3 linked regions of the Coturnix japonica genome follow. The protein of the gene in region 3 purifies or fractionates together with the protein of the main gene of each other region. This does not show direct contact. Links are inferred from orthologs where the notes say so. Each region holds a gene or a part of one and is shown on either strand. Other genes may lie near its edges.

Region 1 (5,657 bases), on a different chromosome or scaffold from region 3:
AATGGTGGCCCTGTAGCCATGAGGTGGCTGTTAATTGCCATTGCTATTTGGCACTGATGGGGTTCTCTGCTGGACACTTCTAACCCAATGACGTTTCTAAAGTACAACCGAAAGCATTGCAGGGAGCACCGTGTACGTGGCACTAACTGCACTGAGGCTGAGCGACCTCCCAGGAGGACAGACAGGTGCCAGCTAAAGCCGCATACCATTGATTTTCCACGGCTAAAATGGCAACTTGGACATCTGTCTGTGCCGTGTGTGTAACAACGACTGCAAATGTGAGCTCCTGTCTTAGCAAGGTTTCTTAGAATGACAGAGATGTAGCATTTGGCAATCAAGGTAAGATGTTTTATTTAGTGTGTGTGAAGAAACACACTGCTGCAACTAGGAAGCTTTAATCCTCAGATAAACACAGCGGGCTTGTGTGTGTGCACACAAACGTGAATGTGTGACTGTGTTTGGGACACAGGCTTCTTCTAAGGCCGGACATTAAGATACATGAAACAGGCCAGCATGAAAAAAACCCGACCATTCAGTGAGTGGGGTCACCTCAGGACTGGTGGAAGAGATAAAGATTGCTGCTCATCTGAGCATCAAATGATGTTTCCACCAGCCAGCAGCACTAATGTGTTTTCTAAATCATCCCGTGATGATATAATTGTGATATTGAAGTTCTGTGCTGTTGCCAATGCAGAATACAATGCCTTATCCCAAGGCAGGTCTCTCCTACATGCTATGGCACTGCTAAGGGAAGCTTTTCCCCTGTTAAATGACACTGATCTGGGGAGCGTTACACCAGACTGTTCTGAGATACGGGTCAATTCAGTGATGAGTTTCAGAGGCAAAAGCCAATGGACTTTGTAGGAGTTCCTGTGTCCGTTGTCCATAGCTGTTCCCTATTGAAAAAGGCGGCTGTACTGTTATTATTTGCAGGGGAGGAAATCCTTCACTCTGCAGTACAATGCAATGAAGTACAATGCTTTAATCCAGTTTCCTTTTGTACATAACAGGTTATAATAATCTCTTTACCTCGTAGTAAGTTTACAAAAGGGACTGAATGGCAGCAGATGAACTTTCAGGTGCAAAAGCACAGCCACAACCACCACAGCCAGACGAACAGCACTCAGCGTTAGCGGCCTGTGCCGTACTGCTGCCCCAGCACCAGCAGCTCTCACATACAGCTGTGCTACCACACAAGTTGTCTGTGTTTCCTTGCAAGGCCTGTAACCCGGTAATATTTCCCTTACAGTCCCGACTACGCGCTAGATGAGAACGCTGCTGTAACCAACCTGTGCTGTGACACCCCGCTGTCAGGAAGGGGCAGCTCGATGGATCGCAACGCTCCGCGCTGCCCACAGCCGCACTGAGGGCTGGGAGCTGGGGGGACACACACGGCCCGCAAAGGCCGCCCCGCAGCACGGCACGGTACGGCACGGCGCCGTGAGGTAACTGCGCGCCATCGCGTCCCGCCCTGAGAGGCGCCACGCCGCTCGCTCTGATTGGTCGCTCCTTTCCTCGGGCCCAATGAGCTCCTCCTGCCAAGCAGCGAATTCCGTCGGCCGTGGTCCAATGCGAGAAGGAGACCGTGAGGAGGGAGGGCTGCAATTGGTTGACTGCGGTGCTGGCGGGGCGCGATTGGCTGAGCTCGCTGAGGGGCTGCGGAAGCGCGCTGCGCTGCGCTGTGTGGCGGCGGTGCCGGCCGTGGCGGCGCGATGTGGGGCGGCCGCCGCCTGCTGCCGCTGCTCACTGTGTGTGCGCTGTGTGCGCTGTGTGCCGGCACGGAGCCGGGCGCTGTGACCTGCGGGTCGGTGCTGAAGCTGCTCAACACCCGGCACAGCGTTCGGCTGCATTCCCACGAGGTCAAGTACGGCTCCGGTGAGCACGAGCGGGCCGGGAGCTGCCAAGGGGCGGGAGGAGCCCTGAGGAGGAGAGGAAATGGCGGGAGAGGGGCAGCGGGAAACGGGCGGGAAATGGGCGGGAAATGGAGGCTGCGGGGGGTCGGGGAATGAGCCGCACGTTGCTCCGGGCTGTTACCGGGACAGCGATGGGGCTGAGGGGTGGGATGGGGTGGGGTGAGATGGGATGGGAGACATGGCGGGGGGGCGGCAGGGCCGTACGGCTGGATCCGCATCTCCTGCCTCTGTGGTGCTTTGCGCTCCCTGAGGTGAGCCCTGTGCTGAGACAGCGGCCTCGGTTACGTTCTTCAGTGTGGAGGGTACGGTACCTGCATTCCCATTGGAGTCAATAAAAGGACTGAGAATGAAGTGTGTTCGTAGTGTTGTCACGCCTTCGAGTTTAAAGCAGCTTCCTTCCGTTCTTCCAGGACTTTCTGAGCTCCAGAAGCGGGTTAGGTCTCCTGCCATTTAATTCTGTTCCAACAGGAAGTGGGCAGCAGTCAGTGACAGGAGTTGAAGCTTCAGATGATGCCAACAGTTACTGGCGGATTCGTGGGAAGACGGATGGCAGCTGCCAGCGTGGAACCCCAGTGAGATGCGGGCAGGCAATACGGCTTACTCATGTAAACACAGGAAAAAACTTACACACTCATCACTTCCCATCACCGCTCTCCAATAACCAGGTAAGTGGCTCTAAATCATAAGTTTTTGTACAAATAGTGCGTGATTGAAATTGACAATACCTCTTTCCAGATTTCTTGGTTTTGAAGAATCAGTCTTAGATACCAGATGCCAGAAATAAGGCATCTCTGGATATGCAGAGTGGTTTCCTAGAGACTGATTGGTCTGTGACTTATTATCTTGTTGAAATGAGGCGTGGTTCTGAGTATAAACTTTTATTTCATATTCCTAACAAACAAGTTTGATTTTCAATCGGTGTGTTGTCACTGACACTGCACGGACTGCACAAGCTTGAATTAACATGACCCTATATTATTAGCTTGATAGGTACAAACTATTGCAGTTCTGTTTTCAAGTGGTTAATCACTTCTAGCCATCTGATTTTTAAGTCTGTGCTGAGTCTTAAACAGTTGGAGCTGAGCCTACCGGGTTTATGAAAATACTTGGAGTTATGTGGGGGCACATAATAAAATCTGATCTCTAACTTTTGTTTTAGCAGGAATTTATTTGCCTTTGTGGTTGGCCGTCTTTATTTTTTAAAGGGCCATTCAGTCATCTGTTCAGCAGTGCAAACCGAAATAGTTGTTAACTTGTAATCTTAATATAATAAAATAAAAGGAATACAATTAATGAGTTAAAATGTTGGGACCTTGTGATTAAAAGCTGCAGTGATAACTGTGAAGCATTGTGCTACAAAATTAGATACTTAGTTACAAATTGATGTCACCATTAGTGAAATTGTTTTACAGAAGGATTGCTCTGATCTCTGTGCTCAAGTTGTCTTTAATTCCTAATGTCTGTTGTGGTTTGTTGGCACTGTGCTCAGGTTATGTGGTGGAGTTTGTAGTCGCAGAGTTACTGCTTCTGGATTGAATTGCTGCTGACAGCAGGGCCGTGTTTCTTTCCTCTGCATCCTTGCCTTTAAATTCTGCTGGCTTTGTGGCTGTTGTTTTTGTGTGTGCATTGGTTGTGTTTGCTTATATTTTCACTTCAGGAGATTTGTGTTTCTAACAGGAAGTAAGTGCCTTTGGTGATGATGGTGAAGGAGATGACCTCGATATATGGATTGTGCAATGCAGTGGGACACACTGGGAGCGGGAGGATGCAGTGCGCTTCAAGCACGTAGGAACTGAGGTGTTCCTTTCAATCACTGGGGAGCAATATGGCCATCCCATTAGAGGCCAACGGGAAGTTCATGGCATGCCCACCGCTAATCACCACAACTATTGGAAAGCAATGGAAGGAGTCTTCATCAAACCCAGTATGGACCTTGCAAAACATGATGAGCTCTGAATTGCCAGAGGATCCAATAAGGTTCATCCTACTCCCATGGTCAGAGATGCTAATACTCGGTCTCTTAAAAAGTCCCACCTTGCCTAAGTGATAGACTTTCTGTGTTACTGAAGGGCATTAGTTCATTCTAGGAATGCTGCACTTCTGTGGGAATGACATCTGCCAGGCTAAGACATTTTACGTTTATTTAAAACATCCTATCTAAATCTTCAATCTTATTTGGTGAAACTAGATCATACGTGTTAGTTCTCTCTGTCATTTGTTTTGTCGTTACTTCTCCAATTCAAAAGAAATTGAAAAAACAAAGTAGTACATCTCTGTAGTCCCAGGTACCGCAAAACTTTGTATTTTGTAATTTTTTTTCAGTTATAATTAAATATTTGGAAACTTATTTCTAGCTAGTGAGAGAATGCTATTAATGAAGAGCTGGAGTAAGTCTAGAAAGGGAAAATAGTTCTTGCTGTCTCTTAAGTGAGTCAAATTCTGCTACTTCCAGAAAAATATTTCAGTCCATCTGAAAATTGCTTCCAATGTGTTTCATGAGTTTTGTTGTGTATTTATGGAAAAGTTGAAAATGCTGTGTATGTTGAAGAGGACAAGTTTTTATTTCTTACCTTTCTCTGAAGAAATTTGTGGGTTTTTTTCTGCTGATTGATTGTGATACTGCTAATTCTCAGACGGTAAGACTTGTGCTCTAGGAACTGGTGCAGAAGGCTCCTACTTGTTTAATTAATGTTAGAATTTTATAAAATTCCATGTGATGTGAATAAATTTGCTTTATGTTGTTCTTGCATGTCATTGCAAGCTCAGTATGAGAATCCAGGTGTATAAGCAGTGGGACTTACAGCCGTGTGGGGCTCTGCTGTGCGAATCCAGGAGAGAGTAAATCTTAGAAAATGGTTTGGTCCTGGACTTTGAACAGAGGGGTAATCTGTAGAGCAAGGAATCTTCATTGCATGAGGCATTAATTTCTGTGTTCTGTGGAAAGAATGGAAAAAAAATCTAACTCTTGAACACTTTTATTCCAGTGTATTACAAGAAATACTGACTGAAGCACAAATTACCAGACATTTTCTAATTGCTTTAAAGAGAAAAGCTCAGTAAGTGAGTGTGAAAAGTCAGCAAATTCAGGTGTTGGTTTTTTCCATGTATAACTAGTTTACTGACTATGGTCCCAATTAGTCAGTTAATGAAGGAGGAACGTTATTTGCTGCTTTTACGTCTCCAGTTACATGCTGTGGAGAGTGTTGATGCAGTGTAATAGGTAGTTTCATTTACATTTTATACATGTACCTATACACATGCTTCATATGCTGATCCCTCACACACTTGTGCTGCACAGAATAGCTTCAGTTTTAATTCAGGGTTTGATTCTAGTGAAGATCCTTCGTATTCTGCAGAAGAAGCAGCCTCTGTTGTTCTGTGATATTCTTCGAAGAAGGTAAGAGTGTTTTTCTGTTAATCTTACGGTATTGAAGGATAAGAGGCATTTTGGAGATGAAACGAGCTGGTATTGCTTTGTGTTACAAGCAAACCTTTCTGTAAGGTTCACTGGTATTCCCGACTAATTGTTATTGAAGTAATAAAGGATAATTACTAAAAAAATAATATTAATAAATAAAAAGTAAAAATTGTTTAAACAAGCTGCCCTTTCCTTTAATAAAAAGAAGGGCTTTTCCTCTGAAGTTCCTTTATGAGAAACTGCAAAAAAAGCAGTAGCACTAACAAAGTGAAGAAATGAATTTGGCAATGAGTTCTCGAGTCCTCTTTAACAGAGGGCTAAAATCT
Region 2 (6,010 bases), on a different chromosome or scaffold from region 3:
CATTCTAAGTCCAAGTATCAAGTATTTCATTTTAGAAAGCAAAAGCAGATTCTCCTGCAATCCTTCCCACACAGATTCAGGCAGCTGCTGCTAGTAGTGAAGGGAGGAAACAAATCAGTAACTGACAGCCAAGGTCTTGCTATGCATCTGTTGGAAACATCACTGCATCTGCTCCAGACCTTCAGCTATGATTGAGTGCTTCTGATGTGGAGCCAGAGATAATAATAATAAAAAGCAGAGGGTCATTCCTTCACTAGCAAGTGGACCAATAAACCAACCAGCCTCTGAAAGAAGCGTTAGTTCAAATTTTAAAGGGAAAGGAAGTGCAGAGGCTACAGCTTCTTAAAAAGAGAACCACAAAGACTATGAGAGATGCTTCACAAGTAACCAATCCCACTCCACCATGTCCACTGCCCACGTCCCTCAGTGCCACAGCCCCACAGGTCTGAACACCTTCAGGGATGGTGACTGCCCCACCTCCCTGTGCAGCATCTCACTGCTCTTTCCAAGAAGAAATATCCAAACTTAACCTTCCCTAGTGAATCTTGAGGGCATCACCTCTCATCCTATCACCATTACCTCTGAGAATAAACCTAAAGTTGCTATGCTCTCCTTTCCGTGAGCTGTAGAGAGCAATGAGGCCTTCCCCTCAGCCTCCTTCTCCAGGTTATATATGGGTGTGTCTTACGTGGATATAACTACTGACGTTTTAGCAACAGTTACATGGAATACATCAAATTTATCAGCTATAAATAAACCGGCCCCATCCCTACCCCTCCTGGTGTCCCCAGCTCCGACCTCGTCCCCATCCCCGCTGCCAGCTCCATCCCCACCGCTCTCCCCATCCCGGTCCCCACCACCACTTCCATCCCCATTCCCGTCCCTATCCCTTCTGCTGTCACCACCCTCACCACTATTTCCATTTCCACTATTTTCCTTGACTTAGGGAACTGGGTCTGTTTAGCCTTCAAAAAAGAAGGCTGAGAGGGGACTTGATCCAGGTTTATTAATACCTGAGATGTGGGAGCCATAGTGGTGAGTCTGGTCTCTTTTCATTAGTGTGTGGGGACAGGATTAGGGGTAATGGGATGAAAGTACAGCATAGGAAGTTCTGCACAAATGTGTGGAAGAACTTCTTTACAGTGAGGGTGACGGAGCACTGGAACAGGCTGCCCAGGGAGGTGGTGGAGTCTCCTTCTCTGGAGATATTCAAGACCCGCCTGGACGCCTTCCTGTGTGACATGGTGTAGGGAGCCTGCTTTGACAGGGGGTTGGACTCGATGATCTCTAGAGGTCCCTTCCAACCCCTACAGTTCTGTGATTCTATAAGGGGTGGCAGCTCGCTCTGCTCAGGGAGGCCCAGTAGAGCAGCCTCCCCTCCCCACAGCCCCATTACCTTGCTCTGCCCCGCGGCCCTGCCCGGCAGCCCGGCAGCTCTAGCCCTGGGGCTGGGCCACTCCTCGCCGATGAGGGACGTCCTCAGGGAGGCTTTGTTCAGCTGCTGCAGGTAGAGGAAGAGCAGGAAGCGCAGCGTGTCCACGGCGAGCTGCCGAGAGGGGAGATGCCGTTAGGTGCCGCCGGCCGCCCCGCTCCCTCCCCATCCCCGGTCCCTGCCTTGCCGCGCTCCCGCTCCAGCTCCTCGCCGTTCCCACACGCCGCCTCGGCCTCGGCTCGCTGCAGCCTGCGGGGCGGATCGGGAGGAGGGAGGAGGCCGTGGAATCGCTCGAAGTACAGCCAGGCCAGGTCGCGGCCCAGCTGCAGTTTATCACAGGCGATGTACCGCCAACGCGGCCAGCTCAGCCGCGGGTAACAGCCCTCGGCCGCCCTCGCCCGCGTGTACGCCGCCATTTTGCGCAGGTAGTGTGGGCCCAAGCGGGCGGGGGGCGGCACGGGCAGCGCGCCCAGCAGCAGCGGCTCCGTCCGCGGCCATAGCGACACGGCGGCCGCCATGACAGCACCGCCAACCAACCAGACGACGCTTCCCGCCTCCCCTCGGGAGCCGCTCGCCATTGGCTACCGGAGCCGGCGCGGAGGCGGGAAGAAGCGACACGCCTTGCGATTGGTCGGCGTCTTCTCCTTCCGGCTCTCTGCGATGCGATTGGGCCGCGGCCGCGAGGCGGTGGTGAAGTGTGCGCAAGCGATTGGTTGTCAGCTCGATCCGCGCGGGGCCGGGCCGCTCCCCAATGGCTGGCGGCTATGGTTGGGTCGCGCTCTCATTGGCTGGCGGCTGCGGCCGGGCGCCGGCTTCGTGTGTGAGGGACGGGCTGCGGGCGGCGGGCTCCTGTCGGCCCGGCCATGGCCCCCGGCTGGCTCGGCCGAGTGTGTCTGCTCCTGCTCTGCCTCTGCGGGGAGGCCGCCGCCGGGTGAGTGCTCCCGGGGGGCTGTTCTTCCCTTATCCCCTCCCTCCTTCCTATAGGCCTGCGGCTCCACAGCGCACGGCCCGGCCCAGCTGACGGGGCCTTCTCTCTTGTCTCGCCCCTCAGGAGGGATTTCTATAAGATCCTGGGGGTGTCCCGAGGCGCCTCCGTGAAGGACATCAAGAAGGCGTACCGCAAACTGGCGCTGCAGCTGCACCCCGACAGGAACCCCGACGACCCGCGGGCACAGGAGAAGTTCCAGGACCTGGGGGCTGCCTATGAGGTGGGGATGGGCTGTGGGCGGGGAAGGGGGCTCAGGAGGGAACCGAGTGGTACAACGGGCTGGACCAGGCGTTGAGGCACCGTCCTGTGGCTGTCAGGGCAATGTGCAGGTCCAGAACGGCTGTCACAGAATCACAGAATGAGCCGGGTTGGAAGGGACCTCAAGGATCATGTAGTTCCAACCCCCCTGCCTGGCAGGGCCACCAAACATACACCTTTACTAGATCAGGTTGCCCAGGGCCCCGTCCAACCTGGTCTTGAACACCTCCAAGGACGGGGCATCCACAACCTCCCTGGGCAGCCTGTTCCAGGGCCTAACCACTCTCCTAGTGAAGAACTTCCCCCTAACATCCAACCTAAATCTTCCCTCTTTTAACTTAAAACCATTTCCCCGTGTCCTGCTATTGTCAGCCCTTTCCAAGAGTTTACTCCCCTCCTGGGAGTAAGTTCCCTTCAGGTACTGAAAGGCTGCAATGAGGTCAAGACTCAGGGACGAATTCCCACATAAATGATTCCCTATGGGGCGCTGCTGTCATCCCTTCTCACCTGTTAAACGCTGTGTTGAATTTCAGGTGTGATGCCTGATAACAAAGCAGAGAGGCTGCCAGGCTGACCTGGGAAGTCCGCTTGTTTGAGGGCAATAAAGGGCAGCAGTTCACCTTGCTGGGGGAGTGTGCGGAGCTCGAGCTGTTTGATCTTATTAATAGTTGTTTGAGTACAAAAAGGGAATGCATCAGCTGTGAGTGTTGGCACAGGAACTCATTTGTTTGTATGTGTAGAGCGTGACTGTAAGTTTTGGCTGGTAGGAAGTGAAAGGCTGTTGGTCGCCTTCTAGTAAACATGTTGAAGGGTGAAAAGTCATTGCTGAAGCCCCGTATGCTTAATGAATTCTGTTATATCTATCCTAAGGCATAGCATTTAAGTAATAATTCATATTTCTAGCATCACACACTGCATAAATCACACATAAACTGTTTTATTACCCAACATTTGTAAGTCAAAGTCTGCTTTTCCCTCTGCTGTGGATGGTGGGCTGTGTTTCCTTCATGTCCTCTGTCCTTTAGCTTCCCATCTCAGAATCATAGAGGTTAAAAGGGACCTTGGGTCCCATCTAGTTAACAGACCTGCTAGAGTAGGTTCCCTATAGTAGATTGCACAAGAAAGCATCCAGGTGGGTTCTGAACGCCTCTAGAGAAGGAAGGAGACTGCACAACCAATGTGAGCAGCTTGTTCCAGTGCTCTGTCACCCTCAACAGCATAGAGATTGATTATTCCTTGTGATTGTATGGAGCTTTGTGTTTCAGTTTTTGCCCATTGCCCCTTGTCCTGTCACTGCACACCACTGATAAGAACCTGGCCCCTTCTGCTGGTTTCTTCCTGCTTCTCCTCATAGAACAGAGGAAAGCTCCTGAGGAAGAGCTGTCAGTTTAGGTAGGAGGTTTGTGCTAGCTTTGAGGAGCCAGGCCATAGGACAATCTGTATCCCATTGTTATCTTTAGGAGTAAAAGGGATTATCTTCCTACCTGGGCTGATGCTGTAGCTGAACCTGTGGCCATAGGTTCCTGCTGCTGTCCCTGCTGCTGCTTCCTTCTTCTGGCATGTAAATATAAAATGACTGAGGAAGTGAGGTGAGAAGCAGCTTGAATGTTTTCAGAAGAAAGACATTAACTTTTTTGTGTGCGTCATACAGTTCCTTTTAGTTCAGACTTCTATTCTTAAATAAGTTAACTTAGTCTCACAACAAAGTTGGTGAGTGTAAATAATTCTTTGGTGGGAGATGCGGAATTTACCGTCTTTGATTTGAAGGCTGATTCATGCTTCAAAGCTGTGGGCTTGGTGTAGTTTATGTGAGCTGGGGCCTTGTTGTACTTGACAGCGCTTAATGCACAGGGAGCGTTTATGTGTTCTCGGGGTTCCAGTTTATGTCTTACCACAGAAGCAGTTGAAAGGGTCTTTCCTACAGCAAAATATTAGGGAAGAAGCAGCTGTAAAATCATAAAACAGTATAGGACGTAGTGGCAGAGGCAGCAAAAATTGAGTGGTGACAATTTACCTTCCTTTCCCTTGCCAAGGTGCTACTAAAATACAGAGCCTGATTTCTTCAGCATAAAACCTGGAGTTCTTTTGCTAAGAGGCTTCTTCACGTAGCACCTGTTAGTGTCAGGGTGGTTTGGGGGCTGGAGTTCATCTTGGTTTTGGTTTTCAGCTTATCTGCTGAATTGCATTGCTTTTGAGGCAACCTAACATGGGCAAGAACTCTATACAGTATTTGGAGTGCTGTGTTCTTGAACCTCCAGAAGCCTGCTAAGGAAGCAAAGTGAATGGAAAAGCAAATATTTTGTATTCTTTATTCCTTTCTTTCTTGTAACATTGTTAGTAGTCTATTAATGGACTGTGGAACTTAACCCAGTTTTCTCAGGTGGGTGTTGTGTTGCATATCTTAGGCGGCACAGGGAGAGCTGAGCTCTTAACCTTTAGTCCTGGAAAGGTGAAGCCAGTACTTCAAGTCACTGTTTTGTTTTTCTTCTAACCTCTCTTGCTGCTGGCATTTATCATTACCTACAATTGGAGGCTGCCTTTCATCATTAAACCAGCTTTTCTCCAGCTGTTTCCATTCCTCTCTGAAATCTAACCTGGCAACTTCAGCCTTCCAAAAAATAGCCAGTGGGCCAGGAAAGGGAAGGAAGGCAAAATCTGGCTGGAAATCTGTGGAGTGGAGAATAAAAGCAAAGATAATACCTAGGAATTAAAACTGAAGCTTTGTGACCTTGAGTGCTGTCTATTGGGATGCACTGTTCTACCTCAGGACTGAGATTGCTCCTGAATTTTGCTGCCCATAGGAACTGAGTCAGTGTTGAAGTTGGTGTGGAGTTATTGTACTCAGCAGGTTCAGCTTGGTAGGCAAACTTGCTGTCATTGCTAATAATTATGAACTATGTGTCAGATAAATGAATTCCACGTGCTTAAAGAACTGAGAAACCAGGGCTCTATTACATGTTACGTGATTTTCTTCTTTTCACAGAGGAGCAGTTCCTGCTTTGTAAGACATGATTTTGAGTTATTATCCCCTTCTGAGTCTCTCTCAACTCATTCAGAGTAAACTCAATATATTTTTAATATCCTCTGTGTTGCATCTGCCATTTTAATATATTAATTCTAACTTTTATGAGGTTAAACAACACAAGAAATGTTTAATTTCCAAGCACAGCAGGCAAGTTCTAGCCAATGCTTCTGTGCTGTAATGCACTTCTACTTGCCCCCCATCTAAGAGCTCTGAAAAGGCTCCTCTTTGAGCTTTGTGTAAGCATCCAGGTGCCCTGTGGGTGAACACCTTGTCCTTCTGTGTCCTCTTGCCAGGTGCTGTCAGATGA
Region 3 (5,231 bases):
TCCCATTAGCGATGCAAATAGGTAAACAGTGTCATCCTGGTGATGATATTACCTAGTTCACAGCTTCTTCATGTGATTAAAGGCCATTACCTGTAAGATTTACATCACTCCACTACTGAGACTTCTCTCTTTGGAGAGTTGTGTTATTAAGATTAGCCATGATTAATCTAGGTTTGAGTGTGAGAAGCAAGACAGTTGATCTAATTCCCATCTCATCCAGCCACGTGTAATACTACACGATCTAATCTGCTACATTAACAAAACATCAGTTCCCTGTCTATAGAGGCAGGTCTGTGAATATTAAAAACAAATTTATTTGGCCTGGACTCTGGTACTTATTTTCAATGTCCTTTTTCCTCCCCTGAATTGCAAAAACCACCTAAAACATGGATGTATCTGGCACAGATTGAATGTGTTTATGGAGGATTTAGCCTCCAGAATTTGCCATGGCATTTGAGGGAGAGGCTAGAAGCATTTATTATGTTATCTGTTTTTATAATGCAAGGTATGTGCTAAATGCAAAATGTGGCAATATTCAGGAGAAATGCAGAAGTTAAATCTCCCATAAACAGTTATAACTGGAAAACAGTTGCTTCAGGAGCAGCAGAATGTGAGATTAGAATAAAGGAACTTCAGTCTTGGTCCTGCAAGCTTGTCTACATGAGTTTAATATAGTCTAGATGTCTAAAAATAAAGACACTGAGCACAAAATAAGAGCCTTAAACATGTTACTAAAGGGAAACTAAAATCCTATAGTTCCTTCCTTAATATGTCTTTCAACATCAATATCATTGATGCTTCTACTTTTTCCTATGAACGTATTAGATCATACCTTATTTAAGCTATTTCTTGAGAACCAATAAAACCTATGGAAAACTGAATCCTGAATACTCTATCTGAAACTATGAAAAAGACCAAACTGTTTATGTTCTGAATTATAAGTATAAACGTTGAAGAGTGACATTTTACATATTCCTTGAGCTTTAATAACCCCAGGAACTGTTAGTAAGTGAAAAACTTGAACATGATTTTTATCTGCTGAGTATCCTTTCAATTTCACAGTGTGCAAATAGCTTTTGATGTGAATATTTGGTGCTGAAGGAAGGAAGATAATGGAAGACTCTTTAAATTGCATTATATCAGTCAAACTACTCTGCTAGCATCAGCCATGAGCAAGGAGAAGTCAGTAAGCGGAAGATAACAACAAGAAAGAGAGTCTGTGGTGATTACCGTTTAATTCAATTATTGGCTAATTGTATCAAGACATCAGGAGGAAAAATCATTCAGATTAAAAATGAATGTAACTCCCATCTTTTATTTGATTTGTTGTAGGAAGAAATAAATTGGGTAATTCAATCACTAACTCAGGGAAGTTTCAGTAATTCTTTCAGAAATAAGGAGACCCAGATTGGAATGAGATAGCAGAAGCCTGGGACATGCCTGCTAACATGAAAGATGGCTGCTTGTAAGGGCTGTGCCATGTAGAGATTGCTGTTGACATTTGAACCACTATCATGTGCTTTGTGAAATGTGATATGAAGTATCGGGTCATGGGGATTGCCAGCTCAACTGTTTATTTCAGAATAAGTGATGGAAAGAGATTCAGCAGAAAGAAGAGGGTAGGCATTGTTTCCCATGACCGTCTTTGCTCCCGTTTATTTCTAAGCTATCACAAATTGTCAGCAAGATTTTCACAGATTCTGTCATTGCTGTGCCTCTTGGTATCAGTGAGCTCTGAAATTTCTATTTCTCAGTGTCTAACATACATATATAGTGATAGTTACCTGAAGATAACAAAACATATTTGCTGTGAGAAATAAATTAGAAGTCCCACAGTGTTGTATTCTGGTACTCTGACAAAGTTAACAGGGGCAACACAACTCCTCCCTAAGACCTGGGCTGAGATTTATTTTTGTGGTTGTGTTTTCTATACTTTGTTGCTTTTTATCGTCAATGGAAGCTTAGTACAATCATGAAAATACTGTGCTAGCAAATGGGATTTAATTTCTACTTGTGCAGCAGGCTTGCTTTTCCATCTTCGATTACCCTGTTCCGTCCACCTATTGTGAGACAATTCCCTTTTTGAAGCTGGTGCCGCTGTTTTCATCTGCCTTCTCTTCTGCCTGTCATGACTGTGTGCTCTTTGGAGAAAGTTGTATTCAAAAGAACTTTGTACTCAGATGTGTTCTGCAAGAGTGTAGTGAGACCATGCTAAAGAACACTGAATTTTTCAATCTGTTCCCTGCTGTGCACAAGATCTAAATCAACATGATAATACCTAAAAGGATGTGGACATAACTACTGATAGTTGTGTATTAACTACTTCTATTAAAATATGTTAATATGACTAATACTGAGTAAAATTAGAACCCTGTATTCAATAGCTGCTTAGCTCTCTTAACCAACGTGTAGTTGCTATCATTTCTTCTAGAGTGCATGTGAAAGTGCATTTGCTATTGTTCTTTCTATAGCTCCACCATGGTCAGAGCTGAAAGCAGTAACTGGCAGCTCTGTACTTACCTGCCTTCTGTGTGCAGGCTACCCCCATACCCTTGGGTAAACATGTACCTCAGCTTTTCATCTGTAACATAACAGCAATGGTGCTGCCGTATCCTTTAGAAGCATGGTGTGGATGAGTACTTTAAAGATGGTGGCCATCTCAGGTACATTAGGAATCAGGACTGTATAATTACTCATGAAATATATAAATGAATATTTACAGGAACAATACCATAATTCAGACAGTTTCCTCTGGTTGTCACACTGATGCATTTCTTAGCTCATCTTAGAAGTTCAGATTAGTGCCAAAATTATGATTAATTTCAAGTGTTTGTTGCTTTTGTCTCGGCACTTGATCAGTAAGTGCTGAAGAAGAAAATCTTGATGGGGTGATGACTGTGAGTGCTTAAGTAATTACTGTGATTTCAACCATGACTTTTATGCCTGCTCCTCTGCAAATAAGGACAGCTTCCTGTTAAAATGTTTTGAGGTTTTTTTCTTCTAAAAAAGCATTCAGTGCACGAACATGTTGTGTGGGGGGGAACATAACCTTGGCCTTGACATAATCCCATGTGGTTTTGCCCCAGACCTCTGTGAAGCCTCAGATGTCACCTAGGAAATTTGAGAGTTCCTGTGTCATTCCACATAAAACCATTCCTGCCTTTGATTTTGTTTTTATAGGTTTGCCTATTAATCTGCTTCTTTCTGCCTTTTTTTCCTTTATTTGTGTATCATTTAGAACCCCTTCCTGTGAGCAGTGTTTCTATCTATGATTACAAACCATCTCCAGAAACAGGAGTGCTATTTGAAATTCAATACCCAGAGAAGTACAATGTTTTTACCAGGGTAAATATAAGCTATTGGGAAGGAAAAGACTACAGAACAATGCTGTACAAAGGTAGGAAGAAACTATTCCACTAACTATTCCTGCTAACAAAGATATGTTTTAGCTTTCTAGTTACACTTGCTGAAATCAATGGGTAACATTCTGCCTCTGTAGTGGTTGAAAATATCAATTCCCTATTCCTCCTTTCTGGTCCTGATTTCTCTTTGTGAGTAGCTGATGGGGGAGCTTAGAGATGCCCTTTATCTGGGAAATAATTCAGTACAACTGATTCTTGGGAAAGACTTTGAAGCTGATATCTCTGTAACACTATGAAGTCACATAGTGCTGGTAGCACTGAGTGACACTCTATGCTGCGTAGTATTGTGTATTACTCTAACATTCTTTGTTGTTCCTGAGCTAATAAACCTGCTGCATTTTTCAATTTCATCTTTCTTAGAACAGTTCAGCCAAGGACAAGCAATCTAATAACCTAGCCAGTCAATCTAAAGAATTTCAGCAATCAGTCTAGCCATCTAAATAGACTAACAAGGACAAATTCTGCTTCTCTTTTTTATTTTTTTATTTTTGCTAAAATCTGAACTTCCCTTTGCTCTTCTGTCGTGCAGTAACTTTAAGCACAGCATTTATTTATTTATTTATTTTTATATGAAAGATGTAAAGGGTTGTCCTACAGAAGGCACCTAAGAGGTGATAGGCACTGCATGCTCTTCAGGTCCCAAACCCCAGCTGGTTTAATACAGCGTGGTGTCAATATCACCTCTGAGTCCAGTAGGTGATAGACTGAATTTCAGTGATAGAAGGAAGGCTTCCAGTGTAGCAGCCTGGTCACTGTAAGCTCTCTCTGGAGTCAGCAGAGGGAGATTCCCACCTCCAGAAGGAGCATGGAAAACTTTGGTGTCACTGATTCAGTGCATAGCAGAATTAGGGTAACATCTGTAAGACTGAAATGCCAGATATTGGGAATGGAGATTCTGGATCATAGTCCTAAATACAAGGGACCCTTTTACAGGGAACAAAGGTGATACAAGCAGCAATTTTTCACTTTCACAGCTCATATACAGAGGCTGTAATACTACTGCTGCAGCTGCTGATAAATAAAAAAGTCACCTTGAATTAAAAAAGTCCCTAATGAGCAAGCATACTCTTTCCCACAGCTAAATTGCCTTAAGCAATATCTCTTCAGCCCACACACATACTGATGTTGGATGTGAGCTCAGTTCTCAGACTGCAGCTGGTGCCCAGCTGCTCTGTGGATGGCCCTTTGAACATCTCCTCTTTCCTCTGAACACTGTACCTCAGTCAGCACCAGACCAAAGTGGGTTTTGCGTGCAATTGTTAAAGGTCTGCAGGAATTGTCACGTGCTCTTTGAGATGCTCAGTGTCACATGGAGCAGGTTGCCTGGTTGAGTTGCTTTTCCTGTGGAATGTAGTTCTTATTTCTCTTGCTGGGGCAGCAATGTGGTTTTCACATCCAGGGAAAATGTTGGTAAACTGAATTATCAGTATTTCATGTCTTAGACTAGGCTGAGCAATGTTAAAACATCTGAAACGTTGCTGTTTCAGCATGTGTAGTTGCATTATCAGAAAGCAAACATTTGATTTGTTTTTTCTTTTATTCTTTTTCTTTAATTAAAAAAAATTATATCTTTTCTTTTTAAACCTTCTGCAGATTTCTTTAAAGGTAAAACCGTTTTCAATCACTGGCTGCCGGGTATATGCTACAGTAACATCACATTTCAGTTGGTATCAGAAGCAACCTTCAACAAAAGCACGCTAGTGGAATACAGCGGGGTTAGGCATGAGCCCAAGCAGCACAGAACAGGTAAAGAAAATGACTGTGTACCACTTGTTCCATGTCTGTGTATCTGTTTTCCTCTCTGCCATA

What was found.
Region 1: the proteins of PTPRO (region 3) and SDF2L1 purify together in Homo sapiens (affinity purification with mass spectrometry; 3 studies listed by BioGRID and IntAct, with this or other methods). This does not show direct contact. The link is inferred for Coturnix japonica from reciprocal best matches to the Homo sapiens genes PTPRO and SDF2L1.
Region 2: the proteins of PTPRO (region 3) and DNAJB11 purify together in Homo sapiens (affinity purification with mass spectrometry; 3 studies listed by BioGRID and IntAct, with this or other methods). This does not show direct contact. The link is inferred for Coturnix japonica from reciprocal best matches to the Homo sapiens genes PTPRO and DNAJB11.

The regions. Positions count from the first base shown.
Region 1 is NC_029530.1:286,002-291,658, forward strand, and holds the start of SDF2L1 (stromal cell-derived factor 2-like protein 1), read left to right. Parts: upstream 1-1,661; 5' UTR 1,662-1,712; coding exon 1,713-1,875; intron 1,876-2,381; coding exon 2,382-2,578; intron 2,579-3,590; coding exon 3,591-3,869; 3' UTR 3,870-5,657.
Region 2 is NC_029524.1:3,281,495-3,287,504, forward strand, and holds the start of DNAJB11 (dnaJ homolog subfamily B member 11), read left to right. Parts: upstream 1-2,219; 5' UTR 2,220-2,295; coding exon 2,296-2,363; intron 2,364-2,483; coding exon 2,484-2,640; intron 2,641-5,996; coding exon 5,997-6,010. Other genes in the region: TBCCD1 (TBCC domain-containing protein 1), read right to left, coding at 1,397-1,546, 1,615-2,010. UniProt on the Homo sapiens protein: As a co-chaperone for HSPA5 it is required for proper folding, trafficking or degradation of proteins.
Region 3 is NC_029516.1:57,544,539-57,549,769, forward strand, and holds part of PTPRO (receptor-type tyrosine-protein phosphatase O), read left to right. Parts: intron 1-3,238; coding exon 3,239-3,397; intron 3,398-5,015; coding exon 5,016-5,168; intron 5,169-5,231.